Linked DNA regions of Saccharomyces cerevisiae S288C. The protein of the gene in region 1 purifies or fractionates together with the protein of each later gene. This does not show direct contact. Each region holds a gene or a part of one and is shown in the gene's direction. Other genes may lie near its edges. The genes, in order: NAN1, MPP10, UTP9 and IMP3.

Region 1 (9,628 bases):
TCCTAACAGGACATTTACTGACCCACCATTTAGAATTGAGGAACAAGGTTGGGGTGGATTTCCTTTAGATATAAGCGTTTTCTTGTTGGAAAAAGCAGGTGAGCGGAAAATACCACACGATTTGAACTTTCTACAAGAGAGTTATGAAGTGGAGCACGTTATCCAGATTCCTCTCAATAAACCACTTTTAACAGAAGAACTTGCGAAAAGTGGATCTACTGAAGAAACGACGGCCAATACAGGCACCATTGGGAAAAGAAGGACTACCACGAACACAACTGCAGAACCAAAGGCGAAGAGAGCTAAGACGGGCAGTGCATCTACCGTGAAAGGGAGCGTGGACCTAGAAAAATTAGCGTTCGGATTGACTAAACTAAATGAAGATGACCTGGTTGGTGTTGTTCAAATGGTTACCGACAATAAAACACCAGAAATGAACGTGACGAATAATGTTGAAGAGGGTGAATTTATAATTGACTTGTATAGTTTACCTGAGGGATTATTGAAAAGTCTATGGGACTACGTTAAGAAAAATACCGAGTAATAAAAGGTAAAAGGGCGTTAAATGCGCGCTTTTATGTTTGTATAAATAAAACACGTTGATATTTTGTCTTATATAAACTTTATTCCAATAACCGCGACACCTTACCAAACACATATTATTACAACACATTTTTATCTTGGATTTTAAGTAATTATACAACAGTTTTCATTTTAGAAAATGAGAACATCAAATATATACATTCCAATGTAATAGAAAATGGAAAAGAAAAAAGAATAAAAAGAAAAACACGAGGGGACCAGGTTGCTAGAAGATAGGGTGACCACGTCAAAAGAATATACCTAGGGAACCAAACAATGCGAAGTTAACAACCCATCAAAGTATTTTTAATAGTGAGTGGTTCAATAGAAAATTAGAAGTCTGTTCATTTAAGCGCGCTACATCCCATCTTCTAAATGAGGATCAAAACCTGTATTGTCCGATGTACTATTGCCAAAAAGTCCGTTAGATGGCATATTATCACTATTTTGCCCATGTGAATCCTCTTGATGAGTTTGAGTGTCTTCAGTAGCAGATGCAGCTGATGAAGGATGCTGAGATAAATTTTGTTCCATAATAGTTGACGAATTTGGAGATTGAGAGAATTTTTTCTTTGCCTTGTAGATTTTCTCCAAGTTACCGGTCACTTTTATCAAATAGTCAGGCAATGGTTTGCCACTCTTCAAGTATTGTAATTTCCAATTACGGGCTTTATCTTTCAGTTGTACCTGCGTCCTGTTCTTCAAATTTTCCGTGATTTTACCACCGGGACCATATAAATCTAGAATCTTAGACCACGATGGGCCAACCTCTTTCAGGCCTTCCACTAATGCTTCTTCTTCCTCTTTGGACCAAGTTCTTTTCGCCTTTGGTTTTCTTAATCCGATACTACCATTATTGTTGCTGTTACTGCTGTTGTTATGAGAGGAATGAGGACCAGAGCTGCTGTTGCTCATCGAGGCCGCAACAGCGGCATCCACAATGGATTGTGTGATAGCGGGGTTTTTGGAAGACACATCTGTGGTAGGTGTATGTGTGCTGTAATGATTCGGACGAGCAGTTGACAAAAAAGCAGACGCACTGCTTGGCTGATTTTGGTCGTCCATGAATTCTACGGTCCTGGTCCCTGTAGAAAAGAGTACTTGAGGATCAAACTCGTTGACATCAAAGTCATATAATGGTGATTTTCCGCGACCCTTTCTGCCCCATATGATGAGACCCATATTTTTATTACAATAATCCAGCAACTCTCTGATAAATTGAGCCCATTCGTAGCTCTGGGTCAGAGAGTTAAAATCTTGGACGATCTTTAAATTTTCTCTCCGACGATCGCACCTTTCGACGAAGTCCTTCTCCGATGGAGTCAAAAGTGTAATGTCTCCAGAATCGCCGGTTCTTCTCTGCACGAGAATATCAGCCAGATTGGATGGGAAGATTAAGTCTAGTAGCTCTTGTTTCTTTTCTAAAGAAATTTCGTTCGTCTCGTCCTGAAACTCTTTCAAGCCGGCAATGTAAGCCTGTGTTTTCAGATCAAGATATAGGATAGCCTGCGATTTCAAAAACTTTCCGCTTTGTTCCAGGGAGTTGTTACCGACAGTGTTTGTATTTGGACAGAAAATATCGAGAAATATCGACTGTAGCAGCTCAAACCCGTAATTAAGGCAGTTCAGCGACGTCAATAGAAATGTTAGCAGATTCGCCTTTCTTATGGCAGTAATAATAAACGCTTCGTGGCCTCTCAATATAAGGGGGGGAGGGGAGTTGGGAAACCATAAACCAGGCGCCACGTCGTGAACAGACAGTAACGGAGATCTGGTGTGGTAAATCATTCTGATCTGCTTAAAGAGCTTGACTAACGTTTGAAAAATTTCTGTTTCGCCTGAGCTTAGGAAAGCCGTCTGGTCCGTCAAAACCGCTATAATATTGGGAGAGTTGGCATTAAGGATAAGAAACCTCAGTAGTTGAGTGGAGATATTGTCCAGCAGACATAATGAGCATATGGTCAACCTAGTTCTTGCAGGCAGGCTTTGGATGATGTCATTGAAGCGGTTTAAGCTTTCGTTATTATTGGGCACTTGCGAATCCATGACAAATGGGGAAAGAAGTGAGTAAAGAAAAACTAATGTAAAATGATTTCTGTCGCAGATGGGACAGCCACAATCTTAAATGTTGGCAAGGATATAGGAGCAAAACGCCAATATTGAGATGATTGTTTATTATAATGTTTACAAGGAAGGGCAAAGCATTGAGGAAAATTAGTCGGAATGAGGTCTCGCCGGGCTTCTACGGAAAGGGGCGAAAATTAATAGGGCACGGTGCAGAATATTAGGGCTTCAAATGTTCAGATTTTAAAGCCTTTTCTTCAAATACAATAATTAATTTTACACACTGTACCTTGCATATATAAGAGAAGAGAAATTTATAAACAGTATAGTTAGTTAGTTAAGAATGGAATTTGAATAAAATCATAAAGGAGATATTTACCGAATAAGTAACAAATAGAGAAGGGAGAGATTAAAAAATGAAAATTTACAGTACCGCCAACAAACACTTGAATAAGATTGAAAATTAGAGAGAAAAAAATTTAGAAATAATACAAAATACTAATAGTGATGGGACACAAAAATGAAGAAAGAAAATAGGTTTGATAGTATTGCTATCACCATTGACATTCTCGTTTGGATATTCACTTTTTACGTGGAGAGTTTGACCTTCTTCTTGTTTAGTTTAATAATGCCGGAGGGGCCCTTTGGTTGCACTAACTCGCCGTTTTCAACACATTTCTTGATAGCGCTATTGAACAGATAGTCAAAATTTGAGCTTGTTTTCAACTTGGAGGAGAAAGTGTCCTTGACATACTTCTTTAAAACGATACGGCTGGAGCCCTTACCGTCATTAAGTTGAGGCATGCTTTTAAGGATCATTTCCTTGTAGGTCAATGAAGAAGGCGAAGAGGCCTTCTTGGCGGTAACAGTAGGCGATTTTTTTTTCACTACTTTCTTTGGCGCTAGCTTCGTGGATGCGGCTTTCGCTTTTGATGCGGTTGCACTCACAGAAGTGGCGGCTTGCTTGGGTTTTGGACTGACCTCTTTTTCTTTCTTTACTTCTGGAGATTTCTTCTTGGCCAGTTTCACAGCACCAGCGGGTCCCTTTGGCTGTTCAAAATCGCCGGCCTCCACACCCTTCTTTATGGCATTGTTGAAGTACAAATCAAAGTTGCTTGCGGATCCGACGATCGGGTAGTTTTCCTTGATAAACTTCTTGAGTGCCGGACGACTGGATCCCTTACGTTCCTTCAAAGCCGTGAGCCCTTCAATGATCAACTCCCTGTAACTCTTGGAGGAAGCTTCCTCCTTTTTTGCCGTGGTTTTCTTGATAGCGGCCTTGGAAGTTGATTTCTCCTTGCCTTTGCTGGTTGCAGGCTTCTTGCCCTTACTTGTGGTCTTGGTAGTGGATTTCTTGGGTGCCATGTTGCTTTAGTTGTATTATAATTGCTTCCCTCGCTGCCAAGCATTATCAGGTGCCCATAAATAACAACTCCCCAAATCTATAGTTGCTCCTCCTCTTTAAATAAAGGCAGATAAACAAAAAACTTTGACCGCCCGCTTTTCCACACAAAAAACAAACAACAGCAGAAAACGCGACGCGAAAATGAAAAGCCAAAGAGAACAAACAAAAATCATCCATCAAACCTGTTATTGTGCAGAATAGCTTTTACCTAGACGCAAGTCCCTAGGAGGGGGCATTTTTGACACAGAATAGCATTTCATCAAAGCAAACAGCAACTTCTTGGAGATTTGTATTGCTTGGCATGTCAAAATCTAGCGGTCACATCAGTAGGGTAACAAAATAGCACGTCAGGGTTAAGGCGGCCTACTGCTTAGGGTACGTGGTAAGTGATGTAAAATGTGAGAAGGAGAAACTAGAAAAAAATTTTCCTTTCTTTTTCCTAGCGATGAGATGAGATGAAATTTTTCGAACAAATGATTTTTGGCACAGTTTACATATCAGTTATATTGGCTGTCGTCACAGGAACTACAAGTACAAACCAGAACCATTTTAGCTGATCACCAGAATGACGCAATCCCTAGGTATCGAACAGTATAAACTGTCAGTCGTATCTGGTGGGAAACCCGCTTTGAATAATCTCAGTTCAGTAACCGGCAATAAGAATATCGCCCGCCTATCACAAGACCAACGAAACTATATTATACCCTTTAACAATCAGATCAAGGTGTATTCTGTGGAAACTAGACAATGTGTTAAGACTCTAAAGTTTGCAAATAACTCCTTGTTATCCGGAATATTTCTGCAAGAAGAAGAGAATAATGAATCGATTGTAAAGATTCTGCTGGGTGATATAACCGTTCCGCAACAAGAAGACGCTCATCTGATTACCGTATTCACCAATAATGGTCATGTAATTGTTTTAAATTATAAGGGGAAGCTGGTCGAGTCCCCTAAGCATTTCAAAATCTCTTTGGCAGATGAAAAGCTTGCAAATGTTTTCCATAGCGAGGGCAACTATAGAATTTTGACAACGTTCAAGGACCCTAGTCAAAAGGCACATAACTCTTTGCAATCGTACAGGTTATATGCATTAACCTTTGACGATGCTAAAAAGCAATTTGAAGTGGCTCATCAGGCAGAATGGCACAACGTTATCTTGTCAAATATTTCTTCCAATGGTAAACTGCTAGCGCATATGTGCAAAGACGTCTCAACAAAAGATCACGAACACAAATCCATCTCAGTTGTTTCGCTTTTTGATGATTCTGTAAATTTAAGCTTTCCCCTCGGTTCCATCCTTTCTTCACAGACTCAATCCCTATCCTATAACACAAGGTACGTTTCTAGCATGGCCATAGACAATATGGGTCAACAACTGGCTGTTGGATTTGCCTCCGGAGTTATAAGTATCGTAAGCCTGGCCGATCTACAAATAAGACTGCTCAAATGGCATATAGACTCTGTGCTGTCACTCTCATTCTCTCACGATGGATCCTATTTGCTATCTGGTGGTTGGGAAAAAGTTATGAGTTTATGGCAATTGGAAACAAACTCTCAACAATTCCTGCCTCGTTTGAACGGTATTATAATCGACTGTCAGGTATTGGGACCTCAAGGGAACTACTACTCTTTAATCCTACAAATGACTGAAAACAATTCAAATTCTGACTACCAATTTTTACTTTTGAATGCTTCTGATTTGACCTCCAAATTGTCGATTAACGGGCCATTACCGGTGTTCAATAGCACCATAAAACACATTCAGCAACCAATCTCGGCCATGAATACCAAGAACTCCAACTCAATTACCTCTCTCAATCACTCTAAGAAGAAACAATCTAGAAAACTAATTAAATCGAGAAGACAAGATTTCACCACTAATGTAGAAATAAACCCTATTAACAAGAACTTGTATTTCCCACACATTTCTGCTGTTCAAATTTTTGACTTCTATAAAAATGAGCAAGTTAACTATCAGTATTTAACATCAGGTGTCAACAATTCTATGGGTAAAGTTAGATTTGAACTGAATTTACAAGACCCAATAATAACTGATTTGAAGTTCACCAAAGATGGGCAATGGATGATTACATACGAAATTGAGTATCCGCCAAATGACCTCTTATCTTCCAAGGACTTAACTCATATCTTGAAATTTTGGACCAAAAACGATAATGAGACAAATTGGAATTTGAAAACGAAAGTAATAAATCCACACGGGATAAGTGTCCCAATTACCAAGATATTGCCTTCACCAAGATCAGTTAATAATAGTCAAGGCTGTTTAACGGCTGACAACAACGGTGGACTGAAATTTTGGTCCTTCGACTCTCATGAGAGCAACTGGTGCTTGAAAAAAATTTCTTTACCAAACTTTAATCATTTCAGTAACTCCGTTTCTTTAGCTTGGTCTCAAGACGGGTCTCTAATATTCCATGGTTTCGATGACAAGTTGCAAATTTTAGATTTCGACACTTTTAAAAAGTTTGAATCATTGGAAAATACAAAGACGGTCAGTGAGTTCACGTTAGACTCTGAAATCCAAACCGTCAAGTTGATTAATGACACAAATTTAATAGTGGCCACCAGGACTACATTAAACGCCATCAACTTATTGCGGGGTCAAGTCATAAATAGTTTTGACTTATATCCGTTTGTTAACGGAGTGTATAAAAATGGTCACATGGATAGGCTTATTACTTGTGACGAAAGGACAGGCAACATTGCCCTGGTTATAAATCAACAACTAACTGATCTCGATGGCGTACCAACTATCAATTACAAATCCCGTATTATTATATTCGATTCTGACTTATCTACAAAATTGGGTAATTTTACGCATCATGAATACATATCTTGGATTGGTTGGAATTATGATACTGATTTCATATTTTTGGACATAGAATCAACACTAGGTGTTGTCGGAACCACTGTGAATACTCAACTATCTGATGAAGTTAATAACGAAGGAATATTGGATGGCCTGGTAAGTAACACCATCACAACTTCGGCATCCAATAGCGATATTTTTGCAGAACAATTGCATAAACTGTCGTCTAGGGGCAAAAAAAGTGACACTAGAGATAAAAATACCAATGATAACGACGAAGATGAAGAAGATATCGCTTTGGAATTTATAAATGGCGAAAAGAAAGATAAGCTAGTCAATATGAATAGTTTTACGAGCATGTTTGACAACATTCAAAACGTGCAAATGGATACATTTTTTGATCGTGTGATGAAAGTATTAACATAGCTTTAGGGTTCTTCCATTGGATATCCAAAATAGATATAAAGGTATATATATATATATATATATATATATGTTTATAAAGCAAACCGAAAGCAAAAATATCTGTATAACTTAGTTACAAGGGAAGGGAAGAGAATGCATTGGTTAATAGGAACAGACACTTCGTAAAAAGCTTCACAATCATTAATGTTAATAGAACTATCATAATATACAAAAAATCTCTTCATACGATTTTTGTTTGATGAGCATCCTCAGTCAAGATGAATAAAATAATCTCTCCAAATAAGCCGCCTCTTTTTTTTTGAATTACACTTCTATAGCGTACATTTCCATGTAAGAAGATTGAAGTTTCAAACAATTGGGTAGCTTAATATTTGTCAAACTTCTTGGTAGGTGTTGTGTTTAAGAAAAAGGAGGCACCATAAACTATTAACTTTTTAGCTTGCCTCAACTGTCAACCGAATCAAATTTTAAAAGGCGTTAAACAAAAATGGCCTCGTCTCTTAACGAGTTAAACTTGGTTCAAGTACTTGAACAAGCAAGTAACCCACAACATATTAGGTCAGATGTTCAAAAATTAGCCGAACAACAACTAAGACAATGGGAGACTCAAGCGGGATTTCATTACTTATTACAGTCAATCTACCTTAATTTATCTAATTCTTTACAAATTAGATGGTTGGCGGTAATTCAATTTAAGAACGGCGTGGATAAATACTGGAGATCCACTAGAATTAACGCTATACCTAAAGATGAAAAAGCCTCGATAAGAGGTCGTCTTTTTGAAATGATCGATGAACAGAATAATCAACTTTGTATTCAGAATGCCCAAGCTTCCGCAAGGATTGCAAGGCTAGATTTTCCCGTAGAGTGGCCAACCTTATTTGAGGATCTAGAAAACCTATTGAACGATGAGATCATCAGAAAAGATTCAGTTAAGATTTACAATATATTGATGCATATAAATCAAATCGTTAAAGTATTAGGTACTGCGAGAATAGGAAGGTGCCGACCCGCTATGCAAAGTAAAGTTCCTTTGATATTACCACTAATTGTCAGGATTTATTTACAATCATTTGAAGAATGGACGACATCCTCCAATCTCAACTACGAGGATCTTTCCAGTTTACAAGTTTCTTACCTAGCTTTGAAAGTGCTCAGAAGGATAATTTGTGAAGGATACGACCGCCCTCAAACCGATCAGTCTGTTTGCGATTTTATTAAACTATCCGTTTCACACTTTGAGATGTTAATTTCAAACCATGAAAACTTCAAAAAGTTTGATATTTACGAAAAGTTTATCAAATGCCTAGGAAAGTTATATTTCAATTTAGTCACTGGCTCTCCGGCTAATTTCATATTACTGCCATGCTCTACGCAAATTCTAATCACTTATACTAGGCTAATTTTCGATAAGGCCCCTAAAGTATATAGAGAGAATTCTGATGTCACGGGGGACTTTTGGGAACAGACTGCTATTAGAGGGCTTTTAATTTTGAAAAGGGTCATTAATTTCATTCACAAAAAGGGGGCAATTACGTTAAAAGCAAGAAGTGATAAACTAACCATAGATGCTTCTATCAACAAAATCAACACAGAATTTCTGAATGAGAATTTGATAACAAGGTTGGTTGACACTTTAATGGAATGGTACTTGAGGTTAAGACCAACTGAATTAGAAAATTGGTTTATGGATCCAGAAGAATGGATAAACGAACAAATGGCCACGAGTTACGAATATCAAATCAGACCATGTGCAGAGAACGTTTTTCAAGACTTAATGAATACTTTCTCTGAGCTGTTGGTTCCCTACCTGTTAAAGAAAATTGAAAATGATGCTTCAAAGCTATCAAACTCATTAGACGATTTTTTAAGGAAAGACGCAATTTATGCAAGTTTCCAATTAAGTGCATCCGCTGTTAGTGAAATGGTAGATTTTGACAGGTTACTAATTCAGGTTTTTTTACCAGAAGCTACAAATACAAACATATCAGGCGACGAATTAAGGATTATCAGAAGAAGAGTTGCTTTAATTATAAACGAATGGTCTACTGTGAAGTGTTCGGAAGAATCTAAAAGTTTATGTTACAAGTTATTTACAAACTTCCTGACAGATGAAGACGACAAAGTTGTTTTGTTAACCACAGTCCAGACTGTCAGAACCATGGTTGATGACTGGAACTTCAACAAGGATACTTTTCAGCCATTTTTAACTGAAAATGTTCATTTATTGTTGAGGAAAATTTTACCATCTGTGTCGTTAACCGAGACAAGGCTATATGTTTTAAACACCTTGAGCGATATCATAATTCAAACAAAACCTT
Region 2 (5,970 bases), on another chromosome or scaffold:
AGTGGACATCAATCGTTTGAAAAAGGGCGAAGTCAGTTTAGGTACCTCAATGTATGTATATAAGAATTTTTCCTCCCACTTTATTGTTTCTAAAAGTTCAATGAAGTAAAGTCTCAATTGGCCTTATTACTAACTAATAGGTATCTTATAATCACCTAATAAAATAGTATGGCCGTGACATTTAAGGATGGTGTGATACTAGGTGCTGATTCACGTACCACCACTGGTGCGTACATAGCTAACCGTGTGACAGATAAATTAACGAGAGTACATGACAAAATTTGGTGTTGTAGGTCCGGTTCTGCAGCAGACACGCAGGCGATTGCCGACATTGTTCAGTACCATTTGGAATTATATACTTCTCAATATGGTACCCCCTCCACAGAGACTGCTGCCTCGGTGTTCAAAGAATTATGTTACGAAAATAAAGATAACCTTACTGCTGGTATAATTGTGGCTGGTTATGATGACAAAAACAAAGGGGAAGTATATACTATTCCATTGGGTGGCTCCGTCCATAAGCTGCCTTATGCGATAGCAGGATCTGGCTCTACTTTCATATATGGGTATTGTGATAAAAACTTTAGAGAAAATATGTCAAAGGAAGAAACCGTAGATTTCATAAAGCATTCGCTATCGCAAGCCATTAAATGGGACGGATCTTCCGGTGGTGTTATAAGAATGGTTGTTTTGACAGCTGCTGGTGTGGAACGTTTGATATTCTACCCTGATGAATATGAACAACTATAATAGACCCCAAAAGAACAAATTCTGAGTGATTACTTCTCTTTATATTTGTTAACAAATGCCTCTGGATCTACACTGATATAACATATAATAGTCTATAACCTCTTTCTCTTTTTCTCTTCGCTTTACGCTTTTTTCTCTAACTGTTAGAACGACAAAGTATCTCAGAAGGGAATTTCGTAAGCAAGATATTTTACGACTAATCATTTTTTTGTTGTATAAAAACGTATGTGAGATTGATTCACTAATTCTTCGGAGTCCTGGAAGGCTTACCTTATCTATGCATTCGTACAGTTGTGTGCAATGTTAAAAATGGTGACTGTATCTACGTATCTATAAAAAAAGGTTAACTACCGGAAAATCATTTCTTCTCGTAAAGTGTATATTTAGGTTCGGAAATCATAAACATTGTTTTTTTGTGTTTTTTATTTTTAAATAAAAAGAATAAATATTTTATATTAAAAAATAAATTTTAAAGTAAATTAATTATTTAACACGTGATTAAGTTACTCTAATATAATCCTATTTAATAATTAGTAGAGTTGTTGAGAACGAGTATAATATTATTTTTTTTTTATTTTTTTGTAGGTTCTTTGGCCATCCTAAATAGAATAAGCATCCACAACAACTAAACTGGTATTTTGTTATACACAACGCGTCTTGGTTAGGCATCTGTTTTGTTTTAGCTATTGTTCATCGCGTTTTTTTTTTTCTTATCTCTTTTACCGAGGGGCGAAAATAGCGATAGATCGAGAATATAAATAAATAAAATATTGTTGTGTTGTGTAGTTCTAAAGAAAAATTTTACAGTGAAAAGGTAACACCGGGGAGTCATTACGTAGACTTACGTATTCTGTATAACTGATTCCGAGACGCAAATGCCTGAGCAAGAACCATTGAGTCCCAATGGCCGTAAGCGCTCTGAGGTTCACTATATCTCAATCCCATTGAACAGAGGTTCCGCATTCTCACCAGATGATTCTGTATCACAGTTTCAGTCTGACGGGTTCATGACACGTAGGCAATCCATATTGGACCATCCTGTGGGCTCATTTAAGGGAGTTAATTCTTTAAGTCGATTTGCGACTTCGTTGAGGAGAGCCAATTCGTTTCGTAATATCGAGCTAAATGCGGATAATGAAAGATCCTTTTTCAAAGAGAGTAACGATGAAACCTACGATCCGGATACTTTAGCACCAGCTTTGGACGGTAGAAGATTATCAGTAACTTTAAATAATGCTGGTCGCCCGCGCATTACTAATTTGGCTAACAACGATAGAGTTAGTACAGCCAGCATGGCTATTCACGATGATGATTATGGGTCCATCCAAAATTCAACAATTGGGGATTCTGGGTCAATATTACGCCCTACTGCCTCCTTAACAGAAATGATGAGTGGTGGAGCGGGGAGAAGGTTTACAAATAATGACATGGATTCAATTGTAGTGAAGAGAGTGGAGGGTGTAGATGGTAAGGTAGTAACTCTTCTTGCTGGTCAGTCGACCGCTCCACAGACCATATTCAACTCAATCAATGTACTGATTGGTATTGGGCTCCTGGCGTTACCTCTTGGTTTGAAATACGCCGGCTGGGTTATAGGACTTACTATGCTTGCAATCTTCGCCTTAGCGACATTTTGTACTGCTGAACTTTTGTCTAGGTGCCTAGATACAGATCCAACTTTGATATCTTACGCGGACTTGGGATATGCAGCATTTGGTACAAAAGGGCGCGCACTAATTTCTGCTCTTTTCACACTTGACCTACTGGGTAGTGGGGTGTCCTTGGTGATTCTCTTCGGAGATTCTTTAAATGCTCTATTTCCTCAATACTCCACCACTTTTTTCAAAATAGTTTCATTTTTTATCGTTACACCCCCGGTTTTTATACCATTGAGTGTTCTATCTAATATCTCGCTTCTGGGAATCCTTTCAACAACCGGAACTGTGCTAGTCATTTGCTGCTGCGGACTATACAAGTCGTCTTCTCCAGGTTCATTAGTTAATCCGATGGAAACGAGCATGTGGCCGATAGATCTAAAGCATCTCTGTTTATCTATAGGTTTATTGAGTGCCTGCTGGGGAGGACATGCGGTTTTTCCCAACTTAAAGACAGATATGAGGCATCCAGATAAATTTAAAGACTGTTTGAAAACTACCTATAAGATAACATCGGTTACGGACATAGGTACTGCAGTTATTGGCTTTTTGATGTTTGGAAATCTTGTTAAAGATGAAATTACTAAGAACGTTTTGCTGACGGAGGGATATCCAAAATTCGTTTATGGTCTGATTTCAGCGCTTATGACTATCATTCCTATCGCAAAGACCCCATTGAACGCAAGACCTATCGTTTCTGTATTGGACGTTCTGATGAATGTGCAACACATAGATGAAGCGGCCAGCGCCATAAAAAGAAGAGCTGCGAAAGGCCTTCAAGTATTCAATAGGATCTTTATTAATGTTGTCTTCGTTTTGATAGCTATTAATTTCCCTGAATTTGATAAGATTATCGCATTTCTGGGGGCCGGTTTGTGTTTTACAATTTGCCTAATTTTGCCGTGTTGGTTCTATTTAAGATTGTGCAAGACAACAATCAAACCATGGGAGAGAGTGGCTTGTCACGTAACCATATGTATTAGTGTCGTGTTGTCCACATTAGGTGTTGGTGCTGCAATTATTTCATAATCGACGAGGGGCATACTTACTCTACTTAAAATTCATTTACATTAGCTCTGTACTTCTGATAATGAAAAACCATTGCGTAATATACATATTTTCGTGTAGAATTATTTCCATAAAATATTCACCGCCTTTTCTGTACTGGCCGCCGGCATGCGAGGGAAGCAGAAAATTTTCAATTTTGCGATGAGCTCTTGAAGAAACAGTGTTTTGTTATGAATAAATGATGTGTGCACGAAAGACCCAAGGAAAGTCGTATAATGTCAGAACTCTTTGGAGTATTGAAATCTAATGCTGGCAGAATTATTTTGAAGGACCCCTCCGCCACTTCTAAAGATGTTAAAGCATATATAGATTCAGTTATCAATACCTGTAAGAATGGGAGTATTACAAAGAAAGCAGAACTGGACGAAATCACTGTTGATGGTTTAGACGCCAATCAAGTTTGGTGGCAGGTCAAACTAGTTCTTGATAGTATTGATGGTGATCTAATTCAAGGAATTCAAGAACTCAAAGATGTTGTCACGCCTTCTCACAATCTCTCTGATGGTAGCACCCTGAACTCATCATCCGGGGAAGAAAGTGAACTAGAGGAGGCAGAAAGTGTTTTTAAAGAAAAGCAGATGCTCTCTGCTGATGTTTCTGAGATTGAGGAGCAGAGTAATGATAGTCTTTCCGAGAACGATGAAGAACCTAGTATGGATGACGAAAAAACCAGTGCAGAGGCAGCTAGAGAAGAATTTGCGGAGGAAAAAAGAATTTCTTCTGGGCAAGATGAAAGGCATTCTTCACCCGATCCTTATGGTATCAATGATAAGTTTTTCGATCTCGAAAAGTTCAATAGGGATACTTTAGCTGCAGAAGATTCTAACGAAGCTTCTGAGGGGAGTGAGGATGAAGATATAGATTATTTTCAAGATATGCCTTCAGATGACGAGGAGGAGGAGGCTATTTATTATGAAGACTTTTTTGACAAACCCACAAAAGAACCTGTGAAGAAGCACTCTGACGTAAAAGATCCAAAAGAAGATGAAGAATTGGATGAAGAAGAGCATGATTCTGCCATGGATAAAGTGAAATTAGACTTATTTGCGGATGAGGAAGATGAACCGAATGCTGAGGGAGTGGGAGAAGCCAGTGACAAGAACTTATCTAGTTTCGAAAAGCAACAAATAGAGATTAGAAAACAGATAGAACAATTGGAAAACGAAGCGGTTGCCGAGAAGAAATGGTCTTTGAAGGGTGAAGTAAAGGCAAAGGATCGTCCCGAAGATGCATTGCTCACTGAGGAACTTGAATTCGACAGAACTGCAAAGCCTGTTCCTGTTATAACAAGTGAGGTCACAGAATCATTAGAAGATATGATTAGACGAAGGATACAGGACAGTAACTTTGACGACCTTCAAAGAAGAACCCTGTTAGACATCACACGTAAGTCTCAACGGCCTCAATTTGAATTGAGTGATGTTAAATCCTCGAAGTCGTTAGCAGAAATATATGAGGATGACTACACACGCGCTGAAGATGAATCTGCATTAAGTGAAGAGCTTCAAAAGGCACATTCCGAAATATCAGAACTTTATGCTAACTTGGTATATAAATTGGATGTGCTTTCATCAGTGCACTTCGTTCCTAAGCCAGCAAGTACTTCTTTGGAAATTAGAGTTGAAACACCCACTATATCGATGGAGGATGCTCAACCTCTCTATATGTCGAATGCCTCTTCTTTGGCTCCTCAAGAGATATACAATGTCGGTAAAGCAGAAAAGGACGGAGAAATTCGCTTGAAGAATGGTGTTGCAATGTCTAAGGAAGAATTAACCAGAGAAGATAAAAACAGATTGCGCAGGGCTTTGAAAAGAAAAAGATCGAAAGCTAATTTGCCAAATGTAAACAAAAGATCTAAAAGGAATGATGTTGTTGACACTTTGTCAAAAGCCAAGAATATTACTGTTATCAATCAAAAGGGTGAAAAGAAAGATGTTTCCGGTAAAACGAAGAAGAGCAGATCAGGGCCAGATAGCACAAATATAAAACTTTGAACACGCCGAAGAAGACTTAGTTTGTATTTAGGTAAAAAATTATTTCTTCATAACTCTGTTCACCCAGCATTTTTTATGGAATATCGACCTTGTAATGTCATTAACCCCTTAAAGGACCACTTAAAGAAAATGAAGTGCATCATGAAATATTCATGACGAGATGCGGAACATATACACTCATAAATACCAGAAGAATGTGCTGAATAATTTTTTGTTGGTAATTGGCTGTCATTTAAAGTATCGTTGAAACAAGAGGTATTGGAAGATAGCTAATTTTAGTATTATTTATGACGTTCTTTCCTGGATAAATGTAGATGTATATACGTAATAAAATGTTAATTAGTAAGTTATATGCTTTCCATATAATGTTCTATCTTAGTCTGCATAACTTGTTTGCTTGTTTTTGTTTCTAACGCTTCTCCATACTGGGCTAAGAGATTTTTTATTTTTTTTGCAGCAGTCGGCCCTGATATCAGCTTTTCTCCTAGTGCGCCATCAAA
Region 3 (3,953 bases), on another chromosome or scaffold:
CTGATTTTGAGGGCTCCTGGACCATATATGATTCATACCTTATGCGGGATCTAAGTGCGGAAGCGTACGATGCCTTCGCCGACTACGTCGCTGACGATGAAAAGAGGACATTACGCTTGAGAAGGGTGGGCTTTTGGTCACTGCAACTTATACTCCAGGTGATTTTGATGAGTCTCGGTGCTATCGCGTGAGGAATACCTACTCCTGTCACTTTCTGTACATATGCATTTACATAGCATCGTTCTTTCTATCAGTTTATCTAATTTGTGACGCATCTTTCTTCTTTCTACACTGCGGAAAATCCTATTTGAAAAAAAATAGACGAAAAATATCAGGACCCACCCCCTTATGAAGGAGAGAAGGGGAAGAGGAGCTGCAAAACAAAAAGGTGAGGCTTCTTCTGTCCAGATTTTTGTGAGTGAGAGAGTGTGTGGGAAGAGAAGGAATTAAACCAAACAAAAATTGGAACCAACAACTGTTGCGTTTGCGTGTGTGCATAATATCAAAAAAGCTACAAATATAATTGTAAAATATAATAAGCATGACTCGTCCCCCATTGGTTCGTGGAATCTTTTCGTTAGGTCTTTCTGTAGCCGTTTTGAAAGGTGTTGAAAAAACAGTTCGTAAGCATTTGGAAAGACAGGGATGGATAGAGCCCCAGAAAGTGGACTATGAGTTAATTTTCACTATAGATAGGTTGAAAAACTTGGTAGATAATAAGCGTGAGGCTTTAACTGCGGAACAACCCGACGCTGGTGAACTGAGCTGGCGTAAAGTATTTAATTTCATTTCCAGACAATCCAGCGAATTGGACACACGAATATACGTTCTTATACTACTCCTATCCTTTCTACTACCTATCGCGTGGACTGTACTGGACGGTGATCGCGAGACCACGCTAGAAGATAAGGATAACGATTGTAATGTAGATCTTATTGAAAACGAAAGGAGGCTGAAGCATTACAACGATGGTGAAAGAGCAGTATTGCAATTTGGTAAAAATAGATCCGAACCTATTATATTAAGCTATAAGGACATGAACGTTTTGGAAGGGGAACATGAGTTTACCTCCAAAGAGGAACACAGTAACAGCCATTTGACAAGCAAGAGCGAAAATGCACTAAACCAAGTAGGGAGTGAAGATTTGTTAGGTTGTCACCTGGAAAAGCAATTGGAAGAAGACAAAAATGAACCGAATGGAGAAGCAGACGGTGAGGATGATAATAACCGGGAAAAGGATTGCAGCTCCAGTTCAGAAGTTGAGTCGCAGAGTAAATGCCGAAAGGAAAGTACTGCAGAGCCTGACTCTCTCTCACGGGATACCAGAACAACCTCTTCCCTTAAATCAAGTACATCATTCCCCATATCATTCAAGGGCTCGATAGACCTTAAGTCGTTAAACCAGCCTTCATCATTGTTGCATATACAAGTATCTCCCACAAAATCTAGTAATCTAGATGCACAAGTGAACACTGAACAAGCATACTCTCAACCATTTAGATACTAATGTACTATATTTCCGTCATCTCGGTTATCATCGTCACTTACAACGAGGTGCGAAAATTTTTTTCTTCTAAAGGTGAGAAGAAAACATGAAAAATTTTGAAAAATTTAACGATGAGATGGAGTTTTCAAGTAACTTTATGTAGTTGAAATACATATTAGTACTCCGTTGCAATATATAACGCCGGGCATTCTCCACGTATATACATACCGTAGTGCACAATGGGCTCCTCTTTGGATTTGGTGGCGAGCTTCTCGCATGATTCCACTCGTTTTGCATTCCAAGCAAGCGTCGCACAAAAGAACAATGTGGATATTTATCCATTAAATGAAACTAAGGATTATGTGGTCAATAGTTCATTAGTGAGTCATATTGACTATGAGACAAACGATATGAAGGTTTCAGATGTAATCTTCTTTGGGTGGTGTAGTGATTTGATAGATACGCAGTCATCCAATATCAAAAGAAAATTAGATGAAGATGAAGGAACTGGTGAATCAAGTGAGCAAAGATGTGAAAACTTTTTCGTTAACGGATTTCCTGACGGAAGAATTGTTGTTTACTCTTCTAATGGTAAGGATATAGTTAATATCATCAAGAATAAAAAAGAGATTTTGGGAGCAGACACAGACGAGTCTGATATATGGATTTTGGATAGTGATAAAGTCGTTAAGAAATTACAGTATAACAATTCGAAACCTCTAAAGACTTTTACGCTAGTTGATGGTAAAGATGACGAAATAGTTCATTTCCAAATTTTGCACCAAAATGGCACTTTATTGGTATGCATTATTACTAAACAGATGGTTTATATTGTTGATCCATCAAAGAGAAGACCCTCTACTAAGTATAGTTTTGAAATATCAGACGCTGTAGCATGTGAATTTTCTTCAGACGGTAAGTATCTGTTAATTGCCAACAACGAAGAATTAATAGCTTACGACTTGAAGGAAGATTCAAAGCTGATCCAATCATGGCCTGTCCAAGTGAAGACATTGAAAACTTTAGATGATTTGATAATGGCTTTGACTACTGATGGTAAAATTAATAATTATAAGATTGGCGAAGCCGACAAAGTTTGTTCTATAGTTGTAAATGAAGATTTGGAAATTATAGATTTCACGCCAATAAACAGCAAGCAACAGGTTCTAATTTCATGGCTAAATGTCAATGAACCCAACTTTGAATCTATTTCTTTAAAAGAAATTGAAACTCAGGGGTATATTACAATAAACAAAAATGAAAAAAATAATGCTGATGAAGCGGACCAAAAGAAATTAGAAGAGAAAGAAGAAGAAGCTCAGCCTGAAGTTCAACATGAGAAGAAGGAGACTGAAACTAAGATAAACAAGAAAGTTAGTAAATCAGATCAAGTTGAAATTGCTAATATTCTCTCATCGCATTTAGAAGCTAATTCAACAGAAATATTGGATGATCTGATGTCTGGAAGTTGGACAGAACCAGAGATTAAAAAATTCATCTTAACCAAGATCAATACAGTAGATCATCTAAGTAAGATATTTTTGACTATATCAAAGTCAATAACACAAAATCCATGGAATGAAGAAAATTTACTTCCGTTGTGGCTTAAGTGGTTGCTGACTTTGAAAAGTGGGGAGTTAAATTCTATAAAGGATAAACATACAAAGAAAAATTGCAAGCATTTAAAATCTGCATTAAGATCTTCAGAGGAGATCTTGCCTGTTCTACTCGGTATACAAGGTAGATTAGAAATGTTGAGGAGGCAAGCAAAATTGAGAGAGGATCTTGCACAACTATCTATGCAAGAGGGTGAAGATGATGAAATAGAAGTTATAGAGCATTCAAATGTAATTAGTAATCCTTTGCAGGATCAAGCATCGCCTGTTGAAAAGCTTGAACCAGATTCAATTGTTTATGCAAATGGAGAAAGTGACGAATTTGTCGACGCATCGGAATACAAAGATTGATCAAGCATTTTAAATATATTTAAGTATATACAAAGAAAAGTTTCACATGAGAAGCACTGATTGATGCAGCTATTAATTTTCAAAAGATTACGTTGTCTTCATCATTTGAGACGGGTCATCGCAAGAAAATTTTTCAATATTAAACTATAATAAAATGTAGTAAAAAATAGATGCAATACTACTATTCAATTTTTGTGGTTTTCCAGTTATCAAACTAAGTATAGACAAAATTTGAGCATGTCAGAGGAATTTATCGCAGTTTCTACTTTGGCTAGAAACCTGGAAATTGCCAAGGGTAATGAGTTTCATACCATTTTGGCGACTTTAAGATCACCAGTTTATATCAATGAACAGCTGCTAAAATCCGAATTGAGCTTCCTTGTTACAAAAATCCTAAAACTTATCAGATCAGGCAATGACTTTGATCTTTGGAAAGGATGTCACACCTCTGTTGTGACTTGCGCCTATAATCCACTGGTCTTATCGACTCATGGAGGTCA
Region 4 (7,619 bases), on another chromosome or scaffold:
CTTCTTCAATTGACCCTAGCGTTTGCCTTATTATCAAGACACTGAAGGTAAAGTTGCCGATAAACTTTTTGGGTTCCACTGTGCACCTATTTCTATGCTTCAATAAGCAGTTCCAGGTAAGGTTTCACCATTTCAACCCAAGTAAATGCTATGTAGTTATAATATTAATTAATGTGTTCTACTGGTTTTTCTGTGCATAAAAAAGACGCTCTGACGCCATTTATCTTGGTGTGTTACCCGTTAGGAAAAGTGGCGTTGCTAAAATTGTTGAAACCCGATCTCATCGCCTGGTAAACAATACAAACAAGGATTTGAACAAGGTTTTATCATTTTCTGATACGTTTTTTGTACTTACAAAATAAAAGATACAAAAATCACTAAGAAAACTAATCTATCAATAAAAATGAGTAGTGAACTCATGTTCAACTATACTTTTAGCTGGCCTGCTGGTCCAAAAGATGTTATTTTAACAGGAACGTTTGATGACTGGAGGGGCACTTTACCCCTCGTGAAGACCGCCAAGGGAAATTTCGAAATTACTATGCCCGTGAAGCTAGCCAACAAGGATGATACGTTTCAGTTTAAGTTTATTGTGGATGGCGTTTGGTGCGTTAGTGATTCGTATAAAAAGGAGCATGTTAGTGAAGGAATCGAAAACAATTTCTTACAAATTACCGATTTAGTTGAAACGCAGGAAGTTGCCGGTGCCAGTAGAATCCCGGAGGCAGGTGGCCTATTATGTGGTAAACCGCCTCGTTCAGCAGGTCCTCCTTCTACAAGTAATAGAAAGAAAAACAAGCGTAACAATAAGAAAAGAAGATCTAAATTGAAGAAAAAGAGTACTAAGAACAACAAGAAGTCAAATGAAAGTTTAGACGATAATGAAGAAGAAGACGGGGTGACTGGAACTACTACTGAAGATGTTACTGGAACCTCTAGGGAAGAAACTCCATTGGCGGAGCCTACTAATGTTTCCAAAGAAGCTCCGGGCAATTTCCATATTCTGCCAATCGATCAAAGTGCAGACACAACTCAATCAAATGGTATAATTGGTGGACCAGGTCCTGTTCTTGTCCCAAACCCTGGTGAAATCAAGGAATTTACCGAAATTAGAGACGTTGATGCTAGGGAATTGAATGAAAGACTTAACAAAAAAGAAGAGGTTCCAGAACCCGTTGCTGGCCCTATTGTTGAATCATCAGTTACGGAAAAGAGTCCTGCTCTTCCACAAGCTGACGACCCGATTGTTGAGACCAAGGAAGTGGCTCATAATGTGCAGGAACTTACTCCTCAAGTGGAAGCGGTTACTCCGTTAATAAATGAGCCCGAACCATTACCAACTCCGGAAGCACAAATATCTATACCTGAGTCATCGAAAGTTGAACCAGTGGAGGGGTCTCTTCAATCTAAGTTGGTGGAGAAACGTGAGTCCACTGAAGGTGTATTAGACGGTTCCAAAAAAGTAGAAAATAAGGCAAAAAAAGATGAAGAGGTCTTTACATTAGACCCCATCGTTAACAAAGCTCCCAAGCTACCCTTGACTGACGAGCAAACAGCTGAAGGTAGAAAATCACCAGCAGTGTCAGAAGAAAAAGAAAAGAAAAAGAAGCAAGAAAAAGGCTCTAAAGAGGTCAAGAGGTCAGAAACCAGTAAAGAAAAAAAGCCTTCTGCCAAAGAGGTTAAGAAACAAACTGTAAAAGCCCCAAAGAAACAGACAGCTTCTCCTTTGTCTTCTTCGACAGAAGAGCCCAAGAAGAAGAAAACTGGTTTCTTCGGCAAATTGAAGAAGCTATTTAAGTGAATTATCTAAGGATTGGTCTCATGTTGCCGAATCATAGAAATATAAGAAAAAAATTAAAAAAAAAAAGAAAGAAAGTATAATACTAATATTGGCAATAATGCTAACACATTACTAATAATAGCAATAATATTAATAATAATAATAATAATAATAAATTATAATAATAGCAGTAATAAAAATATCAAATAATAATAATAGTAATAGTAGTAGTAGTAGTAGCAGTTGTAGTAATGATAATAATAATATAATAATAATATAATAATAGTATAATAATAGTATAAGTAGTTGTAGGTAAAAATCTTTGATTTATCTTATCTGGTTGCAATGCTTCTCCCCTCTGATGCCTAATATGTCTATCTTTATCCTATACCAATTGGCAGGGGAGCAATCATAATTTACATTAATATCGTCCACCATACCCTGAAATTCCAAAAGAGTTCGAGAAATTGGAAGGTACAGCATTTCATTTACTCACTTATTTGATCTTTTCTTTTGTTTTCTGGTAAACATCTTTGTTTTAAATGGGCTCTCTACAACAAAACATGAAAAGTACTCAAGAAAAAAAATCTTTATTAGCGTTGGAATCAAAAAATATATAGCATTAGCAGAACGTTAAAGAGGATATTTGGTTTCTAGTCTAAATGGTGTTCCCTTTTCGAAACTGTATAAAATGAAAGGTAAGGTTCGAACTTCTGTGGCCTTACTTATTGCGTTCATATTCCGTGAAACTAGTATATATTAAAGGTTGCAAGCCAAGAGTTTCATTGAACACCAAAATGTTTACCAAGCAAGAACACGTCACCGCATTAATAACCAATATAAATTTCATTTAAGTTATTTTCATAGGATATTTACAAGGTATTCCCTATAAAGTATAAGAAAAGATACATGTCATAAAAAAAATTACGAAAATGAGTACGAAAATAACTGAAATCCTGAAGTTATTTGATTTTCTTGTCCTTTAGCTTTATTGTTTCATCGTTAACGTATATTCCTTTGCCTTTATACGGCTCTGGTGGATGGAATTTTCTCAATTTGGCAGCAAAAAGAAGGACCTGCTGCTTATTGCACCCTTCAATAATCAGAGACGTGGGAGCAGGTGTTTTGACAACAATACCTTCAGGAACGTCCAATCCTTGTTTGATAGATGCACCCACCTTAACGTTGACAAATTTACCATCATTTTCTAATTGAGCTCTATAACCTGTCCCTACAAATCTAAGGACAGCAAGATGCCCCTCAGTAACACCTATAATGTGATTATTTATAAGTGATCTTACTGTACCCCACATCGAACGTTGATGTTTATCTTCTGAATTCTGAACTGTAACATTTATTTTACCGTGCTTTTCATCCTTGTCCAAGTGCAAAAAATCAGGGACCTCCACGGACAATTCACCCTTGGGTCCCTTTACTGTGATATTCTGTGATATATTCATTGAAGTTCTACCTTTTCTGATAATCCTGGGCATGGATAATGCATTTATGGAAACCTGAACTTCAGGAGATATATAAAGTGGTAAAGACCCCACTTGAGAGCGCAGAAAAAGTGTTTGCGACAATAACCTCCTCTGAATAAATGACATAGGTTGGCCTCAATTCCTATAGTAAGATTTGCGATAGCTTTATTGCGTGATCTTCCCTTACTTACTAGTATTTGATATTCTTCCTCTATAACCGTAGCGTCTCCTCGCTATTTCCGCTCGCCTTTCATTACCCTCTACTTCCAGTGAAAAAAATTTCACTGATATAAGCTCATCGCAACAAAAATTCAATGGGATAAGTAATATAGAACGTTCTAAATAGATAAACCACCAGGCATAATCACAACCAATAATGGTTAGAAAACTAAAGCATCATGAGCAAAAGTTATTGAAAAAAGTAGACTTCCTTGAATGGAAGCAGGACCAAGGCCACCGGGACACTCAGGTCATGAGAACATATCATATTCAGAATCGTGAAGATTATCATAAATACAATAGGATATGCGGTGATATTCGTCGTCTTGCCAATAAATTATCATTATTACCTCCCACTGATCCATTTCGTCGCAAACATGAGCAATTATTACTGGACAAGCTATACGCTATGGGTGTCCTGACAACTAAATCAAAGATTTCTGATCTGGAAAATAAAGTTACTGTTAGTGCCATCTGTAGGAGGCGATTACCTGTAATAATGCATAGATTAAAAATGGCGGAAACTATACAAGATGCAGTCAAGTTCATTGAACAAGGGCATGTTCGCGTGGGTCCAAATTTGATCAACGATCCAGCCTACCTCGTAACGAGAAATATGGAGGACTACGTTACTTGGGTGGACAACTCTAAGATCAAGAAAACCTTGTTGAGATACAGAAACCAAATCGACGATTTTGATTTTTCATAAATTGACTACAAACTTACGTTTTCTGTATCAATACTCGATTTATCATCTTCCTACATTGTGAAATTATTACGAATAGGCAACGAGGCAGCAAATACAAATGATGTGAGGCGCCTGAGCTTTCTTAAAAGCTGGAAGCATGAAAAATTGTTATATACACAAAGGAACTTCTTCGTCGTATGCAAAAATAAGAAAAACCGCAAAACAATTTCTCATCGGCGTCATTTGTTAAATATGCCTTAAAACTTAAAAATACACTTCGAAAAAATCCTATTTAACATAAATTAATTTGTATAAATACGCAATTTGTAAAATTTCTCCAATAAAACATCAATTTATATATCCGATAATTGTCCGTTCATTATCTACACTTCAGTTGACGGTATAATTATGTGAAGAGCCTAATTGTTTTCTTAAATCGTCCTGTGAACCACTATGTGGCAAAATTCCACCAACACTTGGTGGCTGTACAACATCTGTCTCTTCTAATATCCCACTAACACGAGAATTATACAGTTGCTGCTGCTGCTGTTGCAGATAGATATTATTTTGTGTGGTCAGACTGTTATTTCTTGAATTGGTTGCGCTTACACTTCTGAAAGAACCTGCTGGCTTATAAGATGGTTTTGCCGTCAAATCCGAAGGATTGGTCATTACCACACTTTGTCTAAGTTGATAAGGTGAAGGAACCGCCCCATTTTCGTTAAACTTCATATATTGGCCTTGCTGCTGTGGAGCATAATAGGCATCGTTTGTCGGTGAATAAAACATTTCCGGATGATCGACCGGATTTAACGCAGTTCCGTTTAGTCTGGCAGTCTGTAATTGAAGAAGTTGTTGCTTGTTTGGTCTTTTAAAAGAGGTCAATGAATGCGAGGAAGCTGATTGAGCTAAATATGCGGGAGTTGGTAATTCTCCAATAGTTTCCAGGGTCTGAGGATGATTATGTTGCTGTTGTTGAGGAGTTGGTACACCGTACCATTGTGGATTTTGCACGAATTGCGCAGTATACCCCTGTTGCTGAGGATTTCCGCTATATCCATTGCCAGGATACTGTGTGTGGCCATTATATACTGGTGATTGTTCCTGTTGTTGATATTGATCCTGATAATTCAACGGCTGAATTGCTTCGGAATAAATTGAGGAAGCAATTCTATTGGAAGGCGCTGCTTCCGTATCGTTCACGGTGAGTGTATCCTGCACTGGATATTGTTTCTGGCTTTGGGCCATTTCTGGACCATATTCTGCCAAGTTAGTATTGTTTAGAGGAAGTGCTTCTTTCACCAGGTGTTTTGCTTCCGGTACCTCATTATTGTCGATATTGTCGTTATTATTAATTTTGATAGAAGGCAGTGGATTCTGGACTATATTATCCACTCTATTCTCCTCCTGCGATATATCATTTGCATTATCTGCTTTATCCTCTTCCTTTTTCATTGTTTTAGCTCTATCCAAATAAACTTGATAAATACTTTTCATTCTCTTAATATCTTCTTCTTCATTAGGGGATAAGAGTGATACATAGTAATCATCATCTTGACTTTTACTGCTACTACGATCATTCATATGTTCAGCTTCTCTGATATCTTGAAGTTCATAATTATCATCATCCTTACCAAAACGCAGATTCCTTTCATGTGTCTTTTCTGAACTATTATCAAGTTCGAATTCGAACGCGTCATTGCTTGCAGACTCATTTGACTCATTCAAAACCTCAGCCTCTTCACTAACTGAGGACGAATCATTGTCTTCATTAGGAAATGTAAACTGCTTGTTGGCACCTTCTGTGGCAGAACCACGGGAAAGCTGGTTATTATGGATTGGGCTACCGTGAGATCGAAAGCTTTCACTCTCTTGAAATCTTGAAGACGCTCTTATTGGTGTACAATTCGAAAAGTTATCAGGATGCAAGGACGTTTGACTGGCATTTCTAGACTCGGCCGCAACTTTATAGCCACCTAGTCCATCTTCTTGTACTCTCATGGCAAAATCTCTCAAACTGTTAGAGTCGTTCGATTCCTGTGGAAGCTGAAACGGGTCTACGTACCATGACCGACCAATTGCAGGTGGGGTAGCGCTTCTCACATTATATTTACTACTATGCATGCTACCAACAAAGGGATCTGAAGGCGGCTGTTGCAAGGTCTTTTCCATGAAGTCTTGCTGCGAGTCGCTAGAGTACAAATGATTTATTCCAGGTGAATAATCCTTCATTGTCGGTAAAAATTCAGAATCTCCTTCGAAATCTGGATCATTATCTTCCTCAGCTTCCTTTTTGCTTCTCCTATACACAATGCAAAGTATCACAGCCAGAACAATGATAATGACACCTACTGGTACCGCAACAGCCACACCAACAGTTACACTGGTGCTGTGACTCGAATCTGTGGGTAATTGACATTGCTGTTTAGAGCCTGTACATTCAGCAGATTTGCTATTTTTCGTGCTGGATGCTGAGGAAGAAGATGAATCGCTATCGTCTCTTCTAGTGAGCCTTGCATAAGCATAAGACGCATCAGAAACACTTACCGTTGAAGTCACAGATATTAAACTTTCATGCATATGGGTGTGGTACATCGCGAACTATATCTTTGTTAGAACTATGTGACGCTATATGAGTTCAACGAAAAACTATGAAAGGTAATGAAAGAATGAAAAGAAGAACCAGTGAAAAATTCGATATGGATAAAGACAAGGCCTGCTCCCCACAAAAGCTTCACCATGAGTTTGTTATTGATTATTAAAAGTTCTTATTGAGATAAAAAGAGAAAAAATACGGAAGAAACCTTGTCTTTTCGATGAACTTTCCTATTTGGGTGAGCAGTTTTCCTCTTCGAGCTGCAAAAAAGTTTATCGCTTCGCGAAAAAAAAAAAAAAAAAAATTTAAAGAATTTCAAAACGTGTCAGGGCTACTAAATAATTGAACGAGGTCTATGAAATAAAATGGGCTGAGAAAATTTCAAGAAAAAGGAAATAAGTAAGGGCTATTTAGGGTTAGTGGAATGGCTTTTATTATTTCCGCCGCGATGAACTTCCCTTTTATTGTGACATGATAGACATAAATATGACGAATGCCTACGAATTGGAGTCATCAGTAGATAGAACCATAATGAATAAGATAAAAACGCAGGTATTTAGGGTGACAAAGAGATAATATATCTTCAGCAAATGAGTGAGACCAGCTCAAGTCGCAGGAGCGCGAGTAAAGACGCTGTCAAATCTTACTTCGCAGGCAAATACAATAAAGTGTTGGATTCTATACTGGAGGCAGAAGCAGCAATATCAAAATCGCCAACTGTAGCAGAAGATCTATCAGGAAGCTCCTCCAGCGGAAATTCTGAGATGAGCCATCCTTCGCTAACCGCCTCCTCCGCAACAAGCCAAGGCATTAGCAAAAAGGAACTACTCCAACAAATTGCTGGTTCATTATTCA

The links.
Region 2: the proteins of NAN1 (region 1) and MPP10 purify together in Saccharomyces cerevisiae (affinity purification with mass spectrometry, with the first as the bait; 2 studies listed by BioGRID). This does not show direct contact.
Region 3: the proteins of NAN1 (region 1) and UTP9 purify together in Saccharomyces cerevisiae (affinity purification with mass spectrometry; 8 studies listed by BioGRID, with this or other methods). This does not show direct contact.
Region 4: the proteins of NAN1 (region 1) and IMP3 purify together in Saccharomyces cerevisiae (affinity purification with mass spectrometry, with the first as the bait; 3 studies listed by BioGRID). This does not show direct contact.

The regions. Positions count from the first base shown.
Region 1 is NC_001148.4:305,594-315,221, forward strand, and holds NAN1 (Nan1p), read left to right. Parts: upstream 1-4,616; coding exon 4,617-7,307; downstream 7,308-9,628. Other genes in the region: TATA-binding protein-associated factor TAF14, read left to right, coding at 1-544; TBF1 (Tbf1p), read right to left, coding at 940-2,628; HHO1 (histone H1), read right to left, coding at 3,235-4,011; karyopherin KAP120, read left to right, coding at 7,795-9,628. UniProt on the Saccharomyces cerevisiae protein: Involved in nucleolar processing of pre-18S ribosomal RNA. Required for optimal pre-ribosomal RNA transcription by RNA polymerase I together with a subset of U3 proteins required for transcription (t-UTPs).
Region 2 is NC_001142.9:435,177-441,146, forward strand, and holds MPP10 (rRNA-processing protein MPP10), read left to right. Parts: upstream 1-3,688; coding exon 3,689-5,470; downstream 5,471-5,970. Other genes in the region: PRE3 (proteasome core particle subunit beta 1), read left to right, coding at 1-51, 168-750; AVT1 (Avt1p), read left to right, coding at 1,626-3,434; MRX12 (Mrx12p), read right to left, coding at 5,818-5,970. UniProt on the Saccharomyces cerevisiae protein: Involved in nucleolar processing of pre-18S ribosomal RNA. Required for the early cleavages at sites A0, A1 and A2 during 18S ribosomal pre-RNA processing.
Region 3 is NC_001140.6:490,206-494,158, forward strand, and holds UTP9 (Utp9p), read left to right. Parts: upstream 1-1,725; coding exon 1,726-3,453; downstream 3,454-3,953. Other genes in the region: MDM31 (Mdm31p), read left to right, coding at 1-191; NVJ1 (Nvj1p), read left to right, coding at 542-1,507; RIX1 (Rix1p), read left to right, coding at 3,691-3,953. UniProt on the Saccharomyces cerevisiae protein: Involved in nucleolar processing of pre-18S ribosomal RNA. Required for optimal pre-ribosomal RNA transcription by RNA polymerase I together with a subset of U3 proteins required for transcription (t-UTPs).
Region 4 is NC_001140.6:389,897-397,515, forward strand, and holds IMP3 (snoRNA-binding rRNA-processing protein IMP3), read left to right. Parts: upstream 1-3,637; coding exon 3,638-4,189; downstream 4,190-7,619. Other genes in the region: CRP1 (Crp1p), read left to right, coding at 404-1,801; mitochondrial 54S ribosomal protein uL6m MRPL6, read right to left, coding at 2,743-3,387; SKG6 (Skg6p), read right to left, coding at 4,559-6,763; PEX28 (Pex28p), read left to right, coding at 7,355-7,619. UniProt on the Saccharomyces cerevisiae protein: Required for the early cleavages at sites A0, A1 and A2 during 18S ribosomal pre-RNA processing.